Sus scrofa: one gene and its partners. The protein of the gene in region 1 purifies or fractionates together with the protein of each later gene. This does not show direct contact. Links are inferred from orthologs where the notes say so. Each region holds a gene or a part of one and is shown in the gene's direction. Other genes may lie near its edges.

Region 1 (5,326 bases):
CCCCTCTCTCTGTATCTCTGTTTCTAGAGCACTTTTTAATTTATCCTTTAGTATAGGATTCATCCTTTTGCGTTGAGATTTGGCTTGTCCCACTAGACTATTAGCCCCCATATGACAGAGACTCTAATATGCTCAGCAGTGGCACACAAAGGACACCCAATAAATATCTTTTCATGAATTTCCATTTCTGTTGTCCAGTGAAAATTTCCTTCACAGCCAAACAGCAAAAGTTGTAGTAGCTAGAATATTACAGTTTAGGTTCTTATTCCAGTATAAATGTGAAGCTATCAATGCACAGACTCCTGTCCCTCCTGTAGTCTATCACAGCTACTCAGCTCTGCTATTAGAACATAAAAGCAGCTGCAGATAGTATGTAAATAGATGAGCATGGCTGTGTAAAAGTTGATTTGTGGACACTGAAATTTACTTTTGTAACTTGTGTGAATCAGAATATTCTTTTGGGTCTTTTTCTAGCATTTAAATATCTAAAAACTACTCTTAGTTCACAGGCTGCTTAAAAATAGGCATTGGGCTAGATTTGGCCCTTGGGCTATAGTTTTTCAGACCTGTGGTTTCAACCTTTACGCAATTGCTTGTTTTATAATTACTATAAAGGGCATTTACATTTAATAGAAATTGTTTTACCCAACAGGTCCGTTTTTTATCTGATCTTGTGAATTGTCATGTCATTGCTGCTCCATCAATGGTTGCTATGTTTGAAAATTTTGTAAGTGTTACTCAGGAAGAAGATGTGCCTCAGGTAAGAAGACCCCTTATGCTGCTTCTTGTCCATACAGTACCAGGTATTTTCTCTTTAGTATGGAATCTTATCCATACAGTACCACGAATTTTTCACCCTTTAGTAATTAAAAAAACCCAAAAGATTCACGGCAGGTTATCACATTATAAATTCTTAACATCTAGGAGTTCCCATTGTGGCTTAGCGGAAACAAACCCCACTAGCATCCATGAGGATTCAGATTCCATCCCTGGCCTCACTTGGTGGGTTGAGGATCTGAAGTTGCCATGAGCTGTGGTGTAGGCCGGCAGCTGCAGCTCTGATTCGACCCTTAGCCTGGGAACTTCCACATGCTGCACCTATAGCAAAAAAACTTAATATCTAAAAATTAGGTCAGCTGGCTTAATGGTGGGTTCTCATGACATCTGTATTTTAGTTAAATGATCCATTCTGGTAAGATTAAAACTAAGGTATCTAAAAATACTCTGAATGAGCCAGATATTTTCTTTAAGCCCTTTTAATTAGTGTCCATAGGATTTCATTGAAGAATAGATATACTATGTATGAAAATTCACTTGTACCTATTTTAAATATTCTTTAGGTGCGGCGGGATTGGTACGTGTATGCCTTTCTGTCGTCCTTACCCTGGGTTGGAAAGGAGTTGTATGAAAAGAAAGATGCCGAGATGGACCGCATCTTTGCCAACACTGAAAGCTATCTCAAGTAAGAACACAGCAGCATGATAGTGGTTTTGTGTCCCCTTAAGTTTTTTCAGAATAATTTGATTGCAAGTTTCATTTTCTGTTAATAGATACTTCTTTGGGTATTGTTAATATCTACTTAGTTATAAATAAAGCTAAAGTAAGTCTAAAGTTAAAAATGTGCTTTCTCATTACATTGTTAACTTTAAATGATTTTTTCAATGTTTTATATTTTTTTAAATTTTACTTTTTTAGGAGTTCCCGTTGTGGCTCAGTGGTTTAAGAACCCAACTAGTATCCATGAGAATGCGGGTTCAATACCTGGCCTTGTTCAGTGGGTTAAGGATCTGGCATTGCCATGAGCTATAGCGTAGGTCACAGATAGAGCTCAGATCCCACGTTGCTGTGGCGTAGGCTGGCAGCTGTAGCTTTGATTCAACCCCTAGCCTGGGAACTTCCATATGCCACAGGTGCAGCCTTTAAAAAAAAAGTTTTACTTTTTAAAAATAATATCTAGATGTTTGCAAAAGAATGAAAATAAGAGTATGAATATCCTAATGTTTGAAGAAGTCCTTCCCCCTTTTTATACAAATGATATGGTGTACACACTTGCTTTTTTTCTTCTGTACACATTTGGTACTCCCCCACACCAGTGTAGTTTGGATTTGTCGCATAAAAGTATATAGTTCTACCTCCTTCTTTTTAACAGCTGTATAGTATTACACTCCCCCCCCCCCCGCCTTTTTTCCTTTCTATGACCACACCTGCTTCTCATGGAAGTTCCCAGGGTAGGGGTCAGATCAGAGCTGCAGTTGCAGACCTAAGCCACAGCCAAATCGGATCCAAGCCACATTTGCAACCTACACCTCGCTTGTGGCAACGCTGGATCCTTAACCCACTGAGCAAGGCTGGGGATTGAACCCATATTCTCATGGATACTATGTCAGATTCTTAACCTGCTGAGCCACAACAGGAACTCCAGTATTCCCCTCTTTTAATGTACCATAATTTCTTTAACTTGTCTCCTGTTGGTAGACTTTGGGGCCTATGCAAGTCTTTCCTTATTGTAAACAGTGTTTTCAGTGAGTATCCTTGTACCTGTGTCTTTGTGCACATATGTTTGTGGGGCATGTGTGTTGTTAGAAATGGCATTGCTGGGTTGAAGTGTCTTAACTATATTAATGTTGATAGATGTAGTCAAATTGCCTTCCAAAGAGATTAGACTCTTCCACATCTCTTCTAAGAGATTATATCAATTATCCCTCTACCAGCAATGTTTTTGAGTTTTTGAAACTTTGTATTTGCCTACATTTTGGCAATATAATACATTATCAAAGATTCTGATATCTGCCAATCTGATAGGTTAAAGTGTTTCACTCCTTTAATTTGAATTTTATTAATTGTGAAAACAACTGAACATCTTTTCATGTTTTTAAAAACCTAAATGTAGATTTTCATTTTTATCTTTAGAAGACGCCAAAAGACTCATGTGCCCATGTTACAGGTATGGACTGCTGAGAAACCACATCCACAAGAAGAGGTAAATTGTTTTCAGTTTCTTATGATACAAGCACAGTTGGAGTAGATTCTAATATCTGTGACATGTTCGAGTCCTTCCACTTGTGAAACCTTGGCTACGTTTTCACATTTCATATCAAGGGTTCAGCTCCTCATAGCCATATGCAGATAGTGGATTTTTAATAAATCTAGAATGTCATTAACAGTCCCTATTCTGGGGATTCCAGATATCATAGAATTGATGTATTTTTTGTTAGAATGCCCAATTTGAAAAAATAAGTGTAACAGCCCCAGTCTTTACAAAGTAATTGAAGTAAAAACAGAAACTTAGGAGTTCCCTTCATGGTGCAGTGGAAACAAATCCGACTAGGAACCTTGAGGTTGTGAGTTCGATCCCTGGCCTTGCTCAGTGGGTTAAGGATCCATCGTTGCCGTGAGCTGTGGTGTAGGTCACAGACGCGGCTCAGATCCTGCATTTCCGTGGCTGTGGTGTAGGCTGGCAGCTACAGCTCCCATTGGACTGTTAGCCTGGGAACCTCCATATGTTGCAGGTGCGGCCCTAAAAAGCCAAAAAAAAAACCACAGAAACTTAGCACTGTTTCTTTGTACTATGTTTAACTGTAAGTTAGCTTCCTTTTGTTTCCTGTATTTTAGAAAATAGTTGATTTTTGGTTTTGTCTAGTCAAAATATGATTTCATCTAGCCTTCAAATATCTATTAATTATTAAAAATAATCTGTCTTTAGTATTTAGATTGCCTGTGGGCCCAGATTCAGAAATTGAAAAAGGATCGCTGGCAGGAGCGACACATCCTAAGACCTTATCTTGCCTTTGACAGCATTCTGTGTGAAGCACTGCAGCACAACCTGCCTCCTTTCACTCCACCTCCTCACACTGAAGACTCCGTGTACCCGATGCCAAGGGTCATCTTCAGGATGTTTGATTACACAGACGATCCTGAGGTACATACATGACCAGCAGAAGTACCTCTCAAAGGGCCTGTGTTGTTTGTACTTGTGGTTTAATCTTGTTTGAATTATGCTGGTTGGACATTTTAATTTTGAGTTGTTTATTATCTAAGAGAGTCAGTGGCAGTGAAGTTAACAGTCTAATTTTGTGAATGGTGTTACCTCATTATGTAAGAAATCATATTTATCCTGTGTAAATTAAGAGACAGCACAGCATGTAATTGAAGAGTGTAGGTTTGAGAGCCAGATTGGTTTGGGTTTTAATCCTGATTTAGTCAGATCCTAGCTGTGTCATCTTGGGTGAATTATTTGCCTCTCTAGCCTTACTTTCCTAAAGAAATAATAATAGCATAAAGTTGTAATGAGGATTAAATTATTAACACACACAAAATGCGTTGAACAGTACGTGACATGTGATGAATGCTCAGTAATTTTATCTTCTTTATTAGCTGTTTTTAAAGAAAAATGCCTAATTTTGGAGATTGTCCATCTTTCTCTCATCCTCAGTTCATCTTATTATATAATATTTTTAAAATATTATAAAGTATTTTTATGTATGGATGTATTTTTGTCTTTTTAGGGCCACACCGGTGGCATATGGGAGAGCCCAGGCTAGGAGTAGAATGAGAGCTATAGCTTCCAGCCTGCGCCACAGCCACAGCAACATGGGATCCAAGCCGCATCTGTGACCTACACGACAGCTCACAGCAACACTGGATTCTCAACCCACTAAGTGAGGCCAGGGATTGAACCCACATCCTCATGGATACTAATCGGGTTCGTTTCCACTGAGCCACAATGGGAACTCCCATAAAGTATTTTTAATTTAAAAACCCCAAAGGATACTATGAGCTGACTTTATAATTCTTAAGTATACATATTCTTTATTATGACATCAAGTTACTCAGCCATTGTACTTTAGCAGTTAAGAAAATGTGTAATTTTGATATGAACATTTGGTACAAAAATTTACAATTTACCTATGTTTTAATTACTTTATATCTTTGCATTTCAGTGATACCTTTGATACCCAAGCAGCAAGCACAGTAATCACTAGATTGGTTCTGAATAGAAACTTCTCTGGCTAAAGTACCATACCTGTTGCCTAGTACATCCCAGTCAGCATGGAGCAGAATTTCTCAGCCTCAGTGCAGTTGATGTTTTGGTCTGAATAATCCTTTGTGTGGGGCTTTCCTGTGAATTGTAGGATGCTTGGCGGCTTCCCTGGGCTCTACCCTCTGGATACCAGTAGAGGCTAAATATCAGTCGTGACAACCAAAAATGTCTCCAGAGATTGCCAGATGTCCCCTTAGGGGCATAATTCAGCCGCTGGCCATAATTCAGCCAATATTACCACACAAGGTCAAATTTGAGTTTTCTTTCCCTATCCTCTCTCTTCTG
Region 2 (5,831 bases), on another chromosome or scaffold:
TTCATTGAAAATTGTTGAGAAAGGTCTCTAACAGAGGGCTAGACAAGCAGGCAGGCATTTGATACAGTTTATTAACATTTCCTTATTCATGGCCCACTTCAACCTTTGAAGTCTTGTTTCCAACAAATGGAGATAATGTAAAAAGGATTTTAAATATGTCAGACATGTTTTCTGAAATTGATTCTGAAAACACAGTGATCATACAGAATTATCTCCTCCAGTCACTTCATTTTGCGCTTGTTAATAAGTTTATATTGAATACTCCATTTTGGCTAACTCTAGGCAAAAATAATGGGCTAAATGTTTACATCTGATTAACTATGGTCCAGAGAGATATGATCTCCTAGGGGATATGACTTAAAGACGAGAAGAGCTAAAGAAGAGGACAGAAAACTGGGACTATTTAGTGCTTTATGGGCCACACTGCTCTTTCACACCCATTTGATCTCTATACAGATGAGACAGGCATGGATGATATGAGTCTCATTAATGAGTGAAAAGGAAACTGAGGCCCAAAGAGGTCAAGAGACTTGCCCAAGGTCACATTCTCAGCAAAGCCAGGTCTTACAAACCAGTCGATTTTTATTCATTGTTCTGGCATCTAAAAAAATCAGTGGCCTGGTGCAAGAGCTGAAAATGTGGAGGAAAAACTTTTTAAAAAACAGGACAGTCCTGTAATAGGATGTAAGTATTCCAGATGATCAGTGTATTCGTCACATACATAATACAGTTTGGTTTGATACCATTCAAGCTAAGCAATGAATAAAAAATCTTAGGTCTCAAAGTAATCCAACATCATTTTGGCAAACCTATTGGAGGGTGAGAGAGTTACTCTTAAGCAGTGTTTGGGTATTAGCCTTTGTCCACTGTAAGTGAGAATTTGCTGAAGAAAACTGTGATTTAATAAACCATTTATCAACCTCTTGGTGGCACAATGGGCCTACTAAATGTTGGTGGGCTGCTTGCTGTTTCTTCAGCAAAGAACAATCAGTAAAGCTTACTTGGAGGGCACTTGCGGACAAGAGAGACAACCATGTGAAGGGCCACGTGCGTGTGACTTTCATAGAAAATACTACTTGGTGATGATGAAATTTGTGAAGGGTAACTACCCGAAAGGAAAAAGCGAAGGTAAAGGAAGATCAAGGGCAGCTGGCACTCAAGCTTACCCAGCAAAAAGCACAGGATGTTAAACCAATTACAGGGATTACAGTGTCTTAATTTTTAGGAAGAATTGGTTGTTGAAGCAGCCAAATTCCAACCTGGGGAGACGGCGAGTTAAAATTTGAAGGAGACTTGCCCAAGAACTACTTAGGTAACTTTCCCACGTCTCGGAGAGGAGTAAGAGGCGCCAAGGGAGCGTGCCCCATACCTCACCCCAACCTCTCAACATCTCGGCCCCAAACCCGGTCTGGGGCCTACGACTGGCCTCCGTTGTGTTGTTTTCGCTCCTTTTTTCCACCCCGCCCCTCTCCGATTAAAAAAAAACTGGGTGTGCCCTAGTTTTTGCACAGCCCCCATCCGATGGGTGGGGGACAGGTCCCGACCACTGCGGGTTAAGGCCCTGCAGCTAGGCGGGAGCCGGCGGGGGCCGACCAACGCGAGTCCGGGAGTAGCCGAGCGGACGCAGGCGGCCGCGCGCCGCGCTTAAACTCGCGCCTCCACCAGCTCACGAGCTGCGCCCCACCCGCTTCGTCACCAAAGGCGCCCAGCCAATGAACGGGCCGGAAAGGCCGGGCCTGCGGGCTAAGCCCTGGGAGGGGGAGCGGAGGGAGGAGGACGGGAAGTTGAGGGCGGGCTATATTTGATTGACAGACCTCTCGAACCAATCTTCCGCGCGGCTTCTCTTCGCTCTCTACTCTGCTCTGCTTAGCTCTTCGTCCCACCTTCTCCTCTTCCACCCCCCCTCCTCGCTCCTTTGCGACCCGCCCCACTTCCCTTCCCCCACTCTGCGGGCAAATCGCTGCTGGAAAGAGGCGGGGGCCGAAGCGGCGGGCTCGTGTGGAGCCTAGAGCAGAGATTGATGGGCGATATGACCAATAGGAGGTAGGCTGATGGCGCGGCTATGGCTGGAAGCGGCCAATGGGCAAGCGGACTGGGGGCGGAGGCCCAGGTTCCAAACGCTCCGCGGCGCCATGGGCTGAAAACTCAACCGAGATGGAATCTCCCAGTCTGAACCGGTTTCAACCGGTTCCGAGTTTGAGGCACTAGGAGGAGGGGGAGAAGCGGCTGCAGCGGCCGCGGCAGGAGCAGCGGGAGCTACAGCATCAGCAAGAGCAACAGTAGCTACAGCCCCGGCGGCGGTGCCTGTTCCAGTCTTTGCTGCTGCAGTCCGTGCAACCACCCAGAGGGGGAGGGGGGAACCACCAGTCGCTGAGGAGCAAGAGAAGGGGGGAAAGTTTAGGCGAGCCTGGGTGGGGGGGGCCCAGCACCGGAGCCGCGTGAGAGAGGGAGCCGTATTTTGGTAGGGGGGAGTCGGACTGTAACTGGCAGCAGAGCGTCCCCCGACCGTGTGGACTCTACACCCCCTACTCCTGCCGCTCCTGCTGCCGCCTGTGGCTGGAGGGTCCCCCTGGGGCTGAATCTTTGGGACCTGACCCGGTTCCCCTCCCCCTTCCCTCACGCCCCAGCCAGGCGGGAGCATTTATTCCACATATTAATTCCCCTTCTTTTTTTGGGGGGGAGGGTGGGTGTGTGTGTCGGGGGGAGGTGTCCCTGAGATAGTAAATATTGAGCTTTTTTTTTTTTTTTTGCCCTTATCGCCTTCGTTTTTTTTTTAATTTCTTTTTTTAAGGTGGGGAAACTGTGAAACCCACCTTGATTTCCTCCCCTCTTCCCCCCCTCCCCATCTTCCCTCGCCCTAATCCCCCGACAAGGAAGGAAGAAGCAGTTGGTTCAATCTCTGGGTAAGTCGACTGTGTCTTCGGGGCCGAGGGTCGGGCGGCGGCGCGGCCGGGCGGGAGGAGGCTGGTGTGGGGCGCGGCGGCGGCCGCGGGAGACGAGCCGGGGAGGCGGCGGCGGGCCCACAGCACAGCCTGCGATTGAATGGAGCCGCTTCTGCCGCTGGGGGATGGAGGCGGGGAGGCGGCCGCGGGAGGGGAGCGCTTGCTTGGGTCATTCGCGTGTGCGGGTAGCGGTGGAGGAAGGCAAGGAGCGTGATAGTGAAGTGGGGCCCGGCGCGGGAGTGGAAGGGCTTCCCCAGCCCAAGGGGCCGGGGAGAAGTTAGGGTGATTTCAGGAACATCTCAGGAAATTATTAGGAGTGGAAGTTTCCAGAAATATTTAGTGCAGCAGCATTGAAACGTCCGCCTGCATCACGTGGCCCCTCGGTGGAGAGCTTGGGATCGCGGGAGGGAGGGGCTGATGCCTGCTCCTCCTGCAGGGAAACTCAGAATCTTTGGGTTTTTGCAAAGTAGGATTAAAAGTAGGGAAGGTTATTTGGTTTTTTTGGGGGGGGGGAATCTGCAGGTGAGGTTCCATGCTGTAGTTTTGCTTTCACGGACTTGAGTGTGTTAAGTGATCAAAACGTTTACTGCTGGCGCTGTACAGTGGACAATATCCTGATTCTGCTTCATTCCGATGTCTGAGTTTGGGGTGGGTGGAAGGAAGCGGTGTACTAGAGGAAGCATTAAAGATCTGCCCAGCACGGACCTCTGATCACGCAGAGGCCATGCTGCATTGAGAATGGGGCGGTGAACTTCAGGCGCCTGGTCTAAATGCCTCCTCCGAGTATGGGCGGGGTGAGTGCGTGCTCCAGTATGCTATAGTTAGAAGTGCTGCGGATCGGTTCGGGTGGGAAGAGAGGGGAGGGCGGGCCTTAGTGAGGTGTGTTTCTACTGAATGAAGCAGGCAATTGCCCACACACCTAAAGTAGCAGTCTTTCTCCTTGTAGCGACTTGTTTTTTGACCTACTATGTAGTTATCATTAAGCAACGGTTATGATTTTTTGGCTTTTGGATGGGAGCTGGCAGTGTGTAGCTGCCAGTTTGAAGTGGCTGTGAAGGTATTTTGGTAGTCACTTGTAGAGTCACCACATGGCTGGACAGTACCTTGTATTTGCTGTGCAGTGAGTGGAATTTAGCATTGAGTGTCCCAAGGAACGGAGAAAGCTTTTGTGGTTTCTTTCACCTCCCGCTTTGGCTGTTTTGCTATCTGCTTGATTGTGTATCTTAAGCGCGTTGGACACTGCTGTTGGTGGAAAGAATGTTTTGGAAGCTATTTAATTTGGGAGACTAAATGTGCTTGGCATTGACCAGAAAGCCGCCATTTCTGTACTACGTACAGTTTAAGACTAGGTAGGTCATTTCGAAGATAGGCGCTAGTTCTAAGGGTGGCATACCCTGCTGTATTTAACAGAAGCTTCTATTCTAAACCTGCTTTTTCACAGGATTTGTCTTGAACTCTGTAAAGACAATGTACTTGAAAATGAAACTTTTTATAGTTACTTTATTTTTTGTTTTGGCTATTACATTATGATAGGACTAAATAGGAGAAAAGTTCGTTCAGTTTTTAATTAACTCCCCCCCATAGAACATTTGATATGTAGATCTTGATTCTTCGTGGACATTGCTTTTCAGGCTCAATTTTTAAGATTGTTCTGATCCTTTAAAATTACATGACACTTGAAGGGGAGAGATTTAACGCTTTAATTTGTGAAATATATATTTCCTTTTTTGTATTAATATTTAGGTCAAAGATTATGTTAGGTAGTAACTGCTGGTAGAAATTTTTGAAATCTCATCAGTTTTGTTGTCAATGGATCAAAAAACTTGAATGAAAGTCCTTAAACTCTTAATTTCTCAATTTTTACATTATATCTTATATTTTATCTGATTGATCTTTCCGACTTTTACTTTGTCGTAACTGACATTATCATTAAGACATTCGAGTTGAAATTACTGCCATTTTTAAGAATATTTTTAAACCGTAGTAAAATAGCCAAGAAATAGTGCCCTTTTCCTATCAAGCTAGTTTGTCCAAACATAAGGTAATCAAATTAACCACTCATTTCCTGATCTGGAAAGGTTAAGTGGGGGAGAAGTAGAGATGACCATCTGACCTTGTTGGATCTAAGTACAGTAAACCAAGGGTACTTAACCTGAGGCGTGGCTTTCAGGGTGTCCTGAATCATCTGCAGTTGTATGAAAAGTTTTCAAATTTTTTAATTTGGCAAGAGCTATCCTGTTCCTCTGATTGTGAGGCATCTTGACCCAAAAAACGTTGAGGAGTACTGATATAGCCAATCAGACATAAGTGGCTCTGGCTTTGAAGAAAAAGTAAAAGGAAAGATTTTTATAATACTGGGCAACAAAAATGTGAAAGTGTGCCAGCACATTAGAGTTGCGTCCTCTTAAAAGGGTAACATTGCATATGAACCCCAGTAGGTTTTGGCCAGTACATTATTTGAGGTGAAGAAGTTCATTTTTCTCTTATGATAAAGTTTGTTTTTGTTTGGGAAACAGTTGGCAAGCTTTTACAGCCATATGCTTTGCCAGTGAATACCTGGAAATTTAAAAAATGTTTTGTTTGATGTATTACCAAAAAGGTTTTTTTAAGACTGTATATAGTCAAGGAGTTTGTACACTTTAATTTTAATCTTCAAATTCATTCAAAGATAAAAGAAACAAATATAGATGGTTTAATTGAGGGCAGAAACTTGAATTTTGCAGAGGTTAAGGGTACTTACTATATTTCTTCTATATATAGGAAAACTTTTATACCACCCACATGTAATTTTCGTATCTTAAAAATAAAGGTAACATGAAATGAGGGAAAGCGAGCTTTTATTGAAATAGAAGACCCTACTTAGGAAGGGGGGGAAACAGCCATTTGAGC
Region 3 (6,029 bases), on another chromosome or scaffold:
GTCAGACTCCCTCACAAACAGAACAGGAGAGGACGAGCAGGGCCAGCTAGCCCACTGGTGGGTGCCCCGGCCGGCCTGCCTGCCCCGGGACCTGACAGTACAAGAGCATGCTGGCGGCGGGCCGGCTCAGGCCGGTGGAATCCTCTCAGCAAGACTCGCCCGCCCTCGGAAACCCTGGGAGGAGTGGATTCATCACAGTCTGAGTCCCTCCGGATTCTTCAGAGTGCCGTTTCCGCAGAGAAGCCCCAGTGTCACCTGATCCGGGCAGAAGGCATCCTGGGCTCACCCACCACTTTGCTCAGTACCACCGGCTCCCTCTGTTTCACCACCAGCAGGCCCCAAGTTCAGACTCCAAGCCCCCTCTCCGTTGCAGCTGACACACTCGCCCGTCAGCCTGCCCCGCAGCTGGAGTGTGCCACTGGGCGGTGTGCACCGGGTACCACACAGGCTCATCGCCCACTTCGGGCCAAGGGCACAGCCACAAAATTGCTTTCGAGGACTCTTCTCTCCTGAGGCCGTAATCTGCTGCTGAGGAGGTTGCAGATACCCACCCCACCCGTGTGGTACTCTTGGAAAAGGTGGTTTCCTTTCTTTTTTCTCTAGGAAGGGCCAGATCTCCCACTTCTCCTCTCCTTCACGTTCAGGAAAACCCCATCAGGCAGAGCCAGTCAGGGCCTCCTAAGATTGCATCCCGCCTGGCTGACTCACAGGATGGGCTGAGTCCTGGGTGATGAGATTCCCTCTCAGCAGGAAGACGAAGGATTACCACCAGGGTAGAAACACGTGACTCTAAGAAGCAGCACCATTCGGCCTCACATGGCCCCACAAGACAGGCCTGGTCACTCACTGCACCCGAGCAGCTGCTCAGTGGTCCCCAAGCCCCACCTCCCTCTTGGGACCACCCTTGTCCCCTTGGCAAAGCCAGAGACCCTTTCGTCTGTCCCCAAACTAAATTAACTCTTGACCTGAATATAACAACCACTTTCACTTCACCAAACACCCTGGGAAGGAACGAACACGGCAAAAGCGGCAAAAGATGTCTCCTTGCGTTGTGTTGTCTGTGGTGACAGCAGTGGCGAATGACAGAGAGAAGTGAGTGGCAAAAAGCATTACCTCCAGCACTGACTTTAAAACATTTGGACAAAAGCAAATACGGAAACATGTCATTTCCGGTTTGACCTGCTAGATGGGAGAGTGGTTTTATAACATTCCATTCTTTTGTTGGCTTGAGAATAAAGGTCTTCGAATAAAAGATCTTAACACATCTCTCAGTCCCACGTGTTTCACAGTGACTCTCACCTGGACAGGAAGCTGTGCTCTTTTTTCTCACCAAACCTTTGACAGACGTCTCGTGTACAAACATGGGCCCAAACTGACTAGCCTTTCCCCATTAACTTTCTTGGGGAAAGGAAATCAAACGCTGGGGATGCTATGCAGGTATCTCTAAGGACCTGCCAAGGCCAGCAAGCAGTCAAAACTCGAGGGCGGGCAGGGGCACTCACAGTCCGGGCAGCAGCCATTGAAGGCCATCCGGCAGATACCGCAGTTCTCGTCGTTGGCCACCCAGAGCCACGTGGCCACGCCGTTCCAGCACTTGATCTTCACCTTCATGGCGCGGGAGCCTGCGGGAGGGAAGAGACCCCCGGGGTTCCGGTGAGGCTGCTGAGCTACAGCACTTGGGAGCCAAAGAAGAGGTTCCGCCCCGAGCCCTCTAGAGGGTCGGGGAGGGCAGGAGTCGCCTCCGGCAGGGCAGCACAAACTGTCAGCGAGGCGGCTGGGGCAAGGGCCGGGTCCCCGGGAGGACCGGGCGCTCAGCGCATCTCCCAACGCCGCGCTTCTGCCCGGGCGTCCACGGAAGGGGGCGTCGGCTTCCGTTAACCACTGCAAAATCCTGCCGTGTGTACGTCTGAAAGGGACATGACTGTCGAGGTCAGGAGGAGAGCCAAACCCCTCCCTGCAAGACACCCGCGGAAACAAGCCCCCGGCCTGCGCGGCCGCTCCCCCCGCCTCCGCGGACCCGAGCGCGGGTTCGGGGCGGGGGGAGGGGCAGGACCCGGTTAGGACGTGCAAGGAGGGGCAAGGGAGGGGCGGAAGCCCGGCCCCGCCCAACGGCCGCACCCCCACTAACCAAATCACGCGCTGCCCCACCCGCCTTCCGTTGGCGGCGCCGGCGCCCGCGCGGGAAGGTATATAAACGACCGCGGCTGCGGACAGGCACTTCTCAGCGGCGCCCGCCGAAGCCCGGGGTCCAGCGCGCACGCCCCGCCCCGCCCCCCGACGCCGCCGCCGCCTCGCAGCCAATCCGCGGCCGCTCCGAGGACGCAGGCCCGGAAAAGGCCGCGCGGCGCAGGAAGTGACGCGCCGGCGTGCTGACGCGCGGGCTCCAGCCGAGGCCGATTCCGCGCCCGCCATGGCCGACAAAATGGATATGTCTCTGGACGACATCATTAAGCTGAACCGGAGCCAGCGAGGCGGCCGCGGCGGGGGCAGGGGCCGCGGCCGGGCCGGCTCCCAGGGCGGCCGCGGCGGCGGGGCGCAGGCTGCCGCGCGAGTGAGCCGAGGCGGCGGACCCATTCGGAACCGGCCGGCCATCGCCCGCGGCGCGGCGGGCGGCGGCAGGAACCGGCCGGCGCCCTACAGCAGGGTGAGTGCGGAGGCCGGCTGGCGGGCCGCGGCCGGGGGGCGGGCAGGCAGCGCGACGCGGGAGCAGCGGGCGGGCCGGGCCGGGGGGGTGGGGGCGCGGGCGCCGGCCGGGCGGACGGGGGAGGTCGCGCGCCAGCCGGGCCCCGAAGCGAGACCCCACCGGCCTTTGTTTGGGCTGGACGCCGGGCCTCGTGGCGCCGGGGGCCGAGGAGACGTTGGCGCGGCCGCCCTGGCGGCGGGAAGTTAGTTGGAGGGAACCGAGAAGTTGCGGGAAGTGCGGCCCCGCGGGCGGGAAGCGGGGGCTGCGGGCCCCTCTCGGTGCCTTCCTCCCGGGCCGCGATGGGGGAAGGTCTTGTGGCCGTGGGGGCGAGGGCGAGTCCTGGAGCGCGACTTATGGGTCTTTTTCTGTCGCGTTTTCTTTTTCTTTAGCCGAAACAGCTTCCTGACAAATGGCAACACGACCTTTTCGACAGCGGTTTTGGGGGTGGTGCCGGCGTGGAGACCGGTGGGAAACTGTTGGTGTCAAATCTGGATTTTGGCGTGTCCGACGCTGATATTCAGGTAAGAGACTGGAGCTTCTCCTCGGGAGCAGCTCACCCTGTACAGCACTGACTGTGGTGTTTGGGACGGGCCGGGACCCTGAATCCGCACCCACCTTGGGACAGTGAGCCCCTCCCAGGCCCTCGAGGGCTGGCCACCACTGCTCCCTGGAAGGGGCTGCTGGAGTGCATAGCAAAGGCCAAGCTAGAGCTGAAAGTCCAACTGCTGGTTCAGTTTGCGCTGGAAGACAGGCCCGGGTCGGGCCGGGCCGAGGCACCGCGGCTTTGGTAGCTAAGCATCCGCCGTGGGGGTGAGGAGCCTCTGCCTGCCCTTTTCTGGCAAGTGTGGCTGAACGCGTGTGGTTCTGCGTCCCTGAAAGAGCGCGGCTGTCTGCGGCTTTATTTCGTGCCCGTTTTAGTGATGCTTTGGGAGGAGAAAGCCCTTTCTCTGCAGGGCTGACAAAGTGCAGAAGCAGAGTGCTACAGGCATCTCTGGTCCCCTCTGCCTTAAGCCCCGTGGAACTGGGTCCCGGTCTTTCTCTCACCTATGCTCACGCTCTGGGTCTCGTTAGCGGCGCAAGTGTTTATTTAGTCTCGTCTTCGACTCAAGCCTCTTTTCTTTTCCGTTTCTTTTTCTCTTTTTTAAATCCACTCTCCAAGGCACTTGAACTGGTTTTCTCGTGAAGTAATGCCGTTTTGGGGGTCAGTCCTGCAGATGGCTGGGTCCGGGTGAGGGGCCTTCCTGGGTTCGGTCTCCCAGAGCCCAGCCGTTTTACTTAGCCGTGGGGGGACAGAGCAAGGCCAGTGAGCGCTCACAGTGTCTCCACACTTTTTTTAAGGTGGTTTCTGGCATCCACTGGAAACCGCTTTTGGTGAACTCCACTTCCCGCTGTGTGCCTGCGGCCGGAGTAGCCCCACACTCTGGGTTCCCTCTCCAACTCCCAGCCTGCCTGAGGTCAGGGCAGTTTCCATGGCAGCGCTTGACTTCAGACTTTGCGGCAGGCTTGAGTAGGAGGAGAGGGAAAGGTGAGCCCGAATCTGCCCGGGGGAGGGGCTGGGTCAGGGCTCCCGAGTCAGCGGGCCCTTCGAGCTGATCCACCTTGGCTTAGAGCCCCTCGCTCTGTGATCTTGGCCTTTGCAGCTTCTCGGCGCAGTCCTCGGGCGTGTCGTAGGTCTTCCTCTGTAGAAGGCGAGGGCCACTTAATCTCGCGCCCTTCCCCGCGGGCTTTGTGATGCTTTACCTGCACTGTGGTACCTGTGTCAGGTCCCCCGACTGGCAGGAGCCCTCAGGCCCAACGGCTCCTGCCTGGAAGTTGCTGTCCCCCTGCCCCATCCCATCCCCCAGTTCCCGCTACCACTGCCCTGCCCCCCCCACACGTGACGTCTGCCTCCCAGGTAGATACCCCAAAGCAGTGCACACTTCCAGGGAGTGTCCCTGGGCTGCCAGGAAGAAAAGGGCTTCGCTGACGAGTGCTCTTTCGGACTCACAGGAACTCTTTGCTGAGTTTGGAACTCTGAAGAAGGCGGCTGTGCACTATGACCGATCGGGCCGCAGTTTGGGGACCGCTGATGTGCACTTTGAGCGGAAAGCAGACGCCCTGAAAGCTATGAAGCAGTACAACGGCGTACCCCTGGACGGTGCGTACCCCTGGACGGTGCGTGGCCCTGGACGGTGCGTCGGGAGCCGCGCCCAGAAAGGCCTCGGGCGCCAGGAGTGGGGCCGCCTGTGCCTGAGGACACTTGGCCGTCGCCCCTTTTTCTCCCTCTTCCCGTTCTGCCGTCTCACGCTCCCCCGCGCACCTGGACCAGCCTCTCGTGAACCCCCTCCAGCAAGCAAGCCCCAGTCCTCCCCTCCTGCAGCTCCTTGCAGGAGACTCCCTTCTGCGAAGGCCCTTCAGAACCGCCGTAGTCCGCCTCTGAGCGCGGGGCCGTAGTCTAGAGACCAGGGGCCTTTCCACTCGGGAGCCCTTCAGACACCCCCCTGCCCTGGACCCGGGAGGATGCTGCTGGGCTGTGCTCAGCGCGAGCTCGCTCTCCCAGCGGCATCTCCAGGCTGTTGGCCTCGTCGGGAGGGAGCATCGAGATGCCCAGGCCCCTTCCCAGTGCTCGCGTGGAGGCTGGGGCGCGGCGCCCAGCAGGCCGACCGCAGAGCCCTCTAACGGAGCGGGCCCTCTTGTGTTCTCTGCCGCAGGTCGCCCCATGAACATTCAGCTCGTCACCTCACAGATCGACACGCAGCGGAGGCCTGCACAGAGGTGAGTGTGCAGCCTCCGGGCGGGGCTGGCCCTTGGGGTGTCCACTCAGCTCGCAGGCCCCCCCGGGCACGAGAGTGAGTTCCCTCTTCCTGCTAGTGTAAACAGAGGGGGCATGACCAGAAACCGTGGTTCCGGAGGTTTCGGTGGCGGTGGCGGCACCCGGAGAGGCACCCGTGGCGGCAGCCGTGGCAGAGGCAGAGGCACCGGCAGGAGTTCGAAGCAGCAGCTTTCCGCGGAGGAGTTGGACGCCCAGCTGGACGCTTACAACGCCAGGGTAGGTCCCAGAGGAGGACGCGGGGCAGCGGCCCCGGACCTCCTGGGAGGCCCGGTGTGAGCGAGAACCCTCGTCCTCTGTTTCAGATGGACACCAGCTAAGCAGACCGGCAAATCCGTGCGTGGACCAGGACCCAGACGTCGCGTCCGTGCTCCCCGGAGGGGGGGGTGACAGACTGGGGCTGAGTGGCCAGTGATGGATTTGTTTCTTTTATGTTTTAAAATAGGGTTTAAAATTCATGTAAAGGTTTCTTTTTTTTTTCTTTTTCTTTTTTTTTAAATCCTGAAGCAGACCTGTTTTGTACCGAGTTATTTTTGG
Region 4 (5,783 bases), on another chromosome or scaffold:
GTAAAAGTTGAGAGTGATGGAATTAGTATCTTGATTTGCAGTGGTAGTGGTAGTGATGATATATATCTCAAAACTCATCAAGTTGTACATATATATGTATTTTTTGTTGTCGTTTGTTTTTTAGGGCCGCACCCAAGGTGTATGGAGGTTCCCAGGCTAGGGGTCTAATTGAAGCTACAGCTGCCAGCTTACGCCATGGCAATGCCAGATCTGAGCTGTCTGTGACCTACACCACAGCTTACGGCCACACTAGATCCTTAACCCACTGATCAAGGCCAGGGATCAAACATGCAACCTCATGATTCCTAGTCAGATTTGTTTCCGCTGTGCCACGATGGGAACTCCCAGAAGAATTTTTAAAGATGAAATCAACAGGACTTGATTTTGATCCAAACATCAATAGGAACTGATATCTGCTGAGATGATGTAACATGTGGATGGGAAGGAATTTAGGGGTGAATCCCAGATTTCCTGGTTAGGCCCGCCTATTCACCACATGTGTAATTTCCTGGGCCAGGGATCAAATTCTTACCACAGTATCAACCCAAACCACTGAGGTGATACCACTGGGTCCTTAACCTGCTCTGCCACAAGGGATCTCTGGTAGTACCTTGGTTCTGACTGTTGTTCAAGAGTGATTTCTGAGCTGGGAACGAATTGGCATGTAGGCAGTAATTGATTTTTATTTATAAGTTTGCTTAGGGAGAAAGAGAAATGAGAAGACCAGAGAAGGGAGCCAGCCAGTCAGACATGATAAAGTCACAGAACTCAAATGAAGAGCATCACAGAGAACACTCTAGATCTTTCATTTTTCTATGGTTCCTCCTCTATGTGTCTATTCTGCTCTCCTTTCTTTGGAGCATCAGTTACTCATCCAATGGGAATAATGATACAATCCATTTTGTAAGAAGTTGTAAGGATTGAGATCACAAGGGTCATATATTCAGAGTGACCAGTTCATCATTGGTGCCAAAGAAATTGTTTTCCTGTGAGATTATATGTGTTTGGATACAGAAGGGGGCAGATGTGGAGGAGAGAGAAGAAATAGCCTTTGCTAGGCACCTAGGCACTGTTTTAAGCACTTTCACAGGAATTAACTCCTTTAAATCCTCACAATGGTGGGTAAAAGTTCAAACTTGAGCTAGACTGCCTAGTTTCAAGTATTTCCTTTTTTTTTTTGTCATGCCCATGGCTTCCTGCAGTTTCTAATTTCTAAGCTAGGGATCAAACCTGTGCCACAGCAGTGACACCAGCCAATGCAGCTGAGCCACACAGAAACTCCAAATAGTTCCATTTTACAACCTATAAGTAAGTAGTAGAGTTTGGATTAAATTCTGGGGCTGACTAGGAGTAAGTAGATTTGACTCTAGTATGTCCCTTCAGGCAGTTTAAAATCTTTTGGCTACTGGGCAGGGAGGGGTCTTGGGATTACTTGTTCCACCACTATTTGAAGTTTGTGTGATTGCTTTTAGTTCCTCCCTGGGAATGGCCGATTTTTATTCTTTATAAAAGACAAATCTAGTAGTTCCCTTATTAAAGATCCCACGTTGTCACTGCAGCGGCTCGGGCTGCTACTGTGGCACGGATTCCATCCGAGGTCAGGGGACTTCCATATGCTGGAAGATGTGGCAAAAAAAAAAAAAAAGAGACAAATTTACTAATTCCCTAGTTAGAATGTTTCAATCCTTATTAAACATATAAACATTCAGTTTAATAAGTCTTTTATTGATCTAATCTACATTACTTTCAAAGGCTGCCTAACGTGTGTTTCTTTCCGCATTTGTACCATGATTTACTTCGGCAGGACTGAGTCTTTAATTTCAGTATTCTCAGCCCCCTGCCAGCACTTAGCCTAGCATTCAGTATGCACTCAATAAATGCCTGCTCAAAGTATGAATGAACTAAAGAATCGCGGAACTGAGTCGCAGAGGGGGATCGGTCTGGGAATTCCAAAGTTCGGGAGGGGACACGGGGGCGGGCAGTGGCTGTCACATGACTAGGCGGGGCAAATCCCATGTGCTTCGCGGCACCGGGCAAGGCTCCGCCCTCTGCGCCGGTCACGTGGGGGCGCCGGCTGCGCCTGCGGAGAAGCGGTGGCCGCCGAGCGGGATCCGTGCGGGGAGCCGGAAATGGTTGTGGACTACGTCTGTGCGGCTGCGTGGGGCTCGGCCGCGCGGACTGAAGGAGACTGAAGGTAAAGCCGCCATGTCCGGGCCCGACCCGGCCCCCCCATCCCCTCCCCCCGCATCCGCCGCCATCCGGGCCGGGACCGGCTACCCTGCGCCGCCTCCCCGGCGCCCTGGCTCCTCGGCCCAAGCCCGGGCCCCGGGCCGCCAGGGCCCGATCCCCGGCCCACGTGTGCCCGGCCTGGCCCGGCCTGGCTGCTGGGTGGGGGTGGGGGAGCGCGGGGCCGGAATATGCGGTCCCCGCGGGCTGGGAGGGCGCCGGGTTTCCCGGCTGCTAAGTGCCACCTCGGCCCGACCCGAGGAGGCCCTACGGGCGCAGGCACCGCGACTCCCGGCCCGCCGCCCCCTCCCCCCTTTGCGGCCCGGCCGCCGGGAAGTGACACGTTGTTCTTTGGCACTGGCCGGCGCTGCGCAGGGAGGGCGCAGGGGAGGGAGGCGGCGGCGGCGGGCAGGGAGGAGCCCCCGGCCCCGCCCGCCCTCCAGGCCGACCCTCACTTGCTTCAAACCGGCTCTTCTTCGGCCGCCGCCCGCCTGGCCTTTTACGGCCCGACTGCCGCTTTTCCTGGCCTCCACTCCTGGGCGGCGGCAGGCCTCGCCTCTAGCCCCGTGCGGGTGCACCCGCGGCCACCCGCGGCAGGCGTGCCTTGTGTGCCCCTGGGCCAGGCCCCGAACCCGGTGTCCCCGGGTGGGGGGTGGGGACACCACGGCCGAAGCTGCTAGCTCCGTTTGTGATCCGGGAGCCTGGTGCCAGCGAGACCTGGAATTTCCGGTCTGGTTGGTCTTGGGCCCCGCGGAGCCAGGTTGATACCCCCCACCTCCCAACCCCAGGCCCTCGGATGCCCAGAACCTGTAGGCCGCACCGTGGATTTATTCTTAACCGAGGGGGTGAGTGAGGGGCTGTTTCAGCAGATCAGGGGGGGTGGTTGGAGCTGCGGGTCTGACAAGGTGTCGGTGGGGACATAGGCTGGGTTTTATGCTCCTTCACCTTTTTGGCGATTCCGGGGCTTGTTGTGGGACCCAGACCTTGCTTCATCCCTCCCCCACTCCATTTGCCTTAAGCTTGGGTCCCTTCCCCTTTCCGAGCTCCGCTCTTTCCCAACAGGTGCTGGGGGGACCCTGATGTGGCACCAAATGAAATGAACAAAGCTCCACAGCCCACAGGCCCCCCACCTGCCCCATCCCCTGGACTCCCACAGGTAATTAGGGAGGAATTAGCAGCAACTGGGGTGGGGGTGGGGGAGACCAGGCAGCCGGGTCAGGAACAGGTTCCAACCTCTGGATTTTCCCACCCCCTTCTGTGTCAGGGCAAAGTGCAGCTTCCTGCTGCCAAATTGAGGCAGGGCCCCGGGGCTGTTCTTAGGGGCTGTCTTGGGGAGGGTATATGTGGACTGTTGAGGCTCTTGCCACAGCTCTGCTCCCCTTACTTCACCAGCTTGAGTTTCTGCCCCACCTGGGTTTCCCCTCTTGCTGAATTCTGGTCTCCCCCCTTCAGCCAGCGTTTCCCCCGGGGCAGACAGCACCGGTGGTGTTCAGTACGCCTCAAGCGACACAAATGAACACGCCTTCTCAGCCCCGCCAGGTGAGGGGCTGTGGGGAGGGGAGTAGGGGGCCTGGGTGGGAACCATGTGAAGCTTAGGCCAGTTTGGGCCTAGGATGGAAACTATGGAGGCCTTGTACCTGCCCCAACTTCCTGACAGTTGCTTTCATGCGGTTCTGCACTTTGCACTGTTGATTACTTACGGTGGCTGGCCCCTTGGAGTATGTAGTTGGTGGGGATGGCATTCCTAGGGGTCCTGGTGCCTTGGGGGCAGTGCTTTGGGCCCTGCTGCCAACTCCTGCTTTCCTGTTTTCTTTTACTGGGAGGTTGCCATTGCTCCATTCCCCATCCATCTTTCTCTTTTGGACTGTGGCAAGATAAACACTCCAGCTAGTTCTTGCCTTTCTCTGTTCCCTAAATTCTTCCTCACAAGTGGGAGAGGATTCTTGTCCTGCTTCCTTCATTTTCTTTCCCTCCTCATCACCTTGGGGATAATTCTTTTCTTTCCTGTCCCCATGTGCTCTCAGGGAGGATTCAGGTCTCTGCAGGTAATACCCCATTGCTAATCCTGAACTCTCTCCGGGTCTCACCCTTACACTCTGCCCTAGTCAGGGGCTAGACTCAGTCTGGGTCCTCAGTCTGAGGCTGACCGATGCATGTTAGGGGCTAAATCTTGTGTAGTTCACATCTGGGAACTGGGAGACTGTTGCATGTTAGCGGTGAGCTCCTCAGTACCTTAGGGTGGAGCAGTGCATGCTGGGGAGTATGTTGCTGAAAAAGGCTTTACTTAGGCATGATGCATCTGGGTGTTAGGAAGCCTCTGCTGAAGGATAGCCTGGTGAGGTGATCTGAGTATGCATGGCAGGGAGGGAGTAAATATACAGAGTGCCAAGTGTATACCTGAGTTTGGAGGGCGTATGTGAGTATAAGAGGCCACTTAGCCATCACTTGGTCAAGTGAGTCTTGGAAGTGTTGGTCTTCATGCTCCAAAGCCCCTGGTACTTCTCTCCTGACTAGAGACATAGTGGAATGGCCCTTTTGCTGTCCACCTCCTCCCCTTCCCATTGCCAACTGCCTTCCTCCCTCCTGACAGCACTTCTACCCTAGCCGGGCCCAGCCCCCGAGCAGTGCAGCCTCCCGAGTGCAGAGTGCAGCCCCTGCCCGCCCTGGCCCAGCTGCCCATGTCTACCCTGCTGGATCCCAAGTAATGATGATCCCTTCCCAGATCTCCTACCCAGCCTCCCAGGGGGCCTACTACATCCCTGGACAGGTGAGGCTGGAGGCTTGGGGGCTGGAAGCCACAGAACCTTGTACCCTCCCACCCTCCCCCCTCCCCTCCAGTCCCATCTCTTCTCCAGAGGTGGGACTTCCTTCTGGTCATTGCCTAGAGTTGGCTTGTCCTGTCTTGTCCTACATACTCTTTGTAGTCTGATATGGTCTTCATAGCTCCCTTAACTCCTTCATTCTCATCCTCCCCTTTCCCCTCCACCAGGGGCGTTCCACATATGTTGTCCCGACACAGCAGTATCCTGTGCAGCCGGGAGCCCCAAGCTTCTATCCAGGTGCAAACCCTACAGAGTTTGGGACCTACGGTAAGCAGGGGAGGGAGTTAGGTGAGAGTGAGTCCCAGGGAACATCTAAACTTGCTTACTAATTCCTAAGACCCTTCCCAGGTTTGTCTCTTGGTCTAAAAATGGTAGAGGTAGTAGGGATTGGTGCTTAATATGTAATTGGTGTGGGGGTGGCGGGAGAGGGTCTTATAGTATCGCTGAGAGTTGGGAGTCCTCCCCACATCAAGGAGTATAGTTCAGGCACCAGTTTGAGGGCCTTTGAGTAAATATTCCCTGTGACACTCATTCCATGCTTGGGGGGAGCCCATGTAACATGGATTTGGGAAGTTTTTGTAGCTGTTTTTCATTTATATTCTAGGAAAGGATTAGTCTGTTCTTTATGGCAGTGGTTTCCAAAATTTTTTGATCATCAGGAAAAATTTTGAGTATGTACCTCTAATACGGGTATGTTTCTATTTGTTTATATGTATGCATCATTTAAACAAATAA

The links.
Region 2: the proteins of NCBP1 (region 1) and XPO1 purify together in Homo sapiens (affinity purification with western blotting; 3 studies listed by BioGRID and IntAct, with this or other methods). This does not show direct contact. The link is inferred for Sus scrofa from reciprocal best matches to the Homo sapiens genes NCBP1 and XPO1.
Region 3: the proteins of NCBP1 (region 1) and ALYREF purify together in Homo sapiens (affinity purification with western blotting; 6 studies listed by BioGRID and IntAct, with this or other methods). This does not show direct contact. The link is inferred for Sus scrofa from reciprocal best matches to the Homo sapiens genes NCBP1 and ALYREF.
Region 4: the proteins of NCBP1 (region 1) and EIF4G1 purify together in Homo sapiens (affinity purification with western blotting; 3 studies listed by BioGRID and IntAct, with this or other methods). This does not show direct contact. The link is inferred for Sus scrofa from reciprocal best matches to the Homo sapiens genes NCBP1 and EIF4G1.

What each region holds. Positions count from the first base shown.
Region 1 is NC_010443.5:239,505,255-239,510,580, forward strand, and holds part of NCBP1 (nuclear cap-binding protein subunit 1), read left to right. Parts: intron 1-652; coding exon 653-760; intron 761-1,340; coding exon 1,341-1,462; intron 1,463-2,910; coding exon 2,911-2,980; intron 2,981-3,703; coding exon 3,704-3,919; intron 3,920-5,326. UniProt on the Homo sapiens protein: Component of the cap-binding complex (CBC), which binds cotranscriptionally to the 5'-cap of pre-mRNAs and is involved in various processes such as pre-mRNA splicing, translation regulation, nonsense-mediated mRNA decay, RNA-mediated gene silencing (RNAi) by microRNAs (miRNAs) and mRNA export.
Region 2 is NC_010445.4:80,252,927-80,258,757, forward strand, and holds the start of XPO1 (exportin-1), read left to right. Parts: upstream 1-2,089; 5' UTR 2,090-2,903; intron 2,904-5,831. UniProt on the Homo sapiens protein: Mediates the nuclear export of cellular proteins (cargos) bearing a leucine-rich nuclear export signal (NES) and of RNAs.
Region 3 is NC_010454.4:1,096,952-1,102,980, forward strand, and holds the start of ALYREF (THO complex subunit 4), read left to right. Parts: upstream 1-2,287; 5' UTR 2,288-2,410; coding exon 2,411-2,644; intron 2,645-3,072; coding exon 3,073-3,204; intron 3,205-4,672; coding exon 4,673-4,820; intron 4,821-5,373; coding exon 5,374-5,437; intron 5,438-5,533; coding exon 5,534-5,711; intron 5,712-5,797; coding exon 5,798-5,812; 3' UTR 5,813-6,029. Other genes in the region: ANAPC11 (anaphase-promoting complex subunit 11), read right to left, coding at 1,503-1,611. UniProt on the Homo sapiens protein: Functions as an mRNA export adapter; component of the transcription/export (TREX) complex which is thought to couple mRNA transcription, processing and nuclear export, and specifically associates with spliced mRNA and not with unspliced pre-mRNA.
Region 4 is NC_010455.5:122,201,465-122,207,247, forward strand, and holds the start of EIF4G1 (eukaryotic translation initiation factor 4 gamma 1), read left to right. Parts: upstream 1-2,041; 5' UTR 2,042-2,194; intron 2,195-2,646; exon of another isoform or gene 2,647-3,014; 5' UTR 3,015-3,071; intron 3,072-3,288; 5' UTR 3,289-3,322; coding exon 3,323-3,382; intron 3,383-3,618; exon of another isoform or gene 3,619-3,678; coding exon 3,679-3,765; intron 3,766-4,250; coding exon of another isoform or gene 4,251-4,271; intron 4,272-4,816; coding exon 4,817-4,993; intron 4,994-5,215; coding exon 5,216-5,315; intron 5,316-5,783.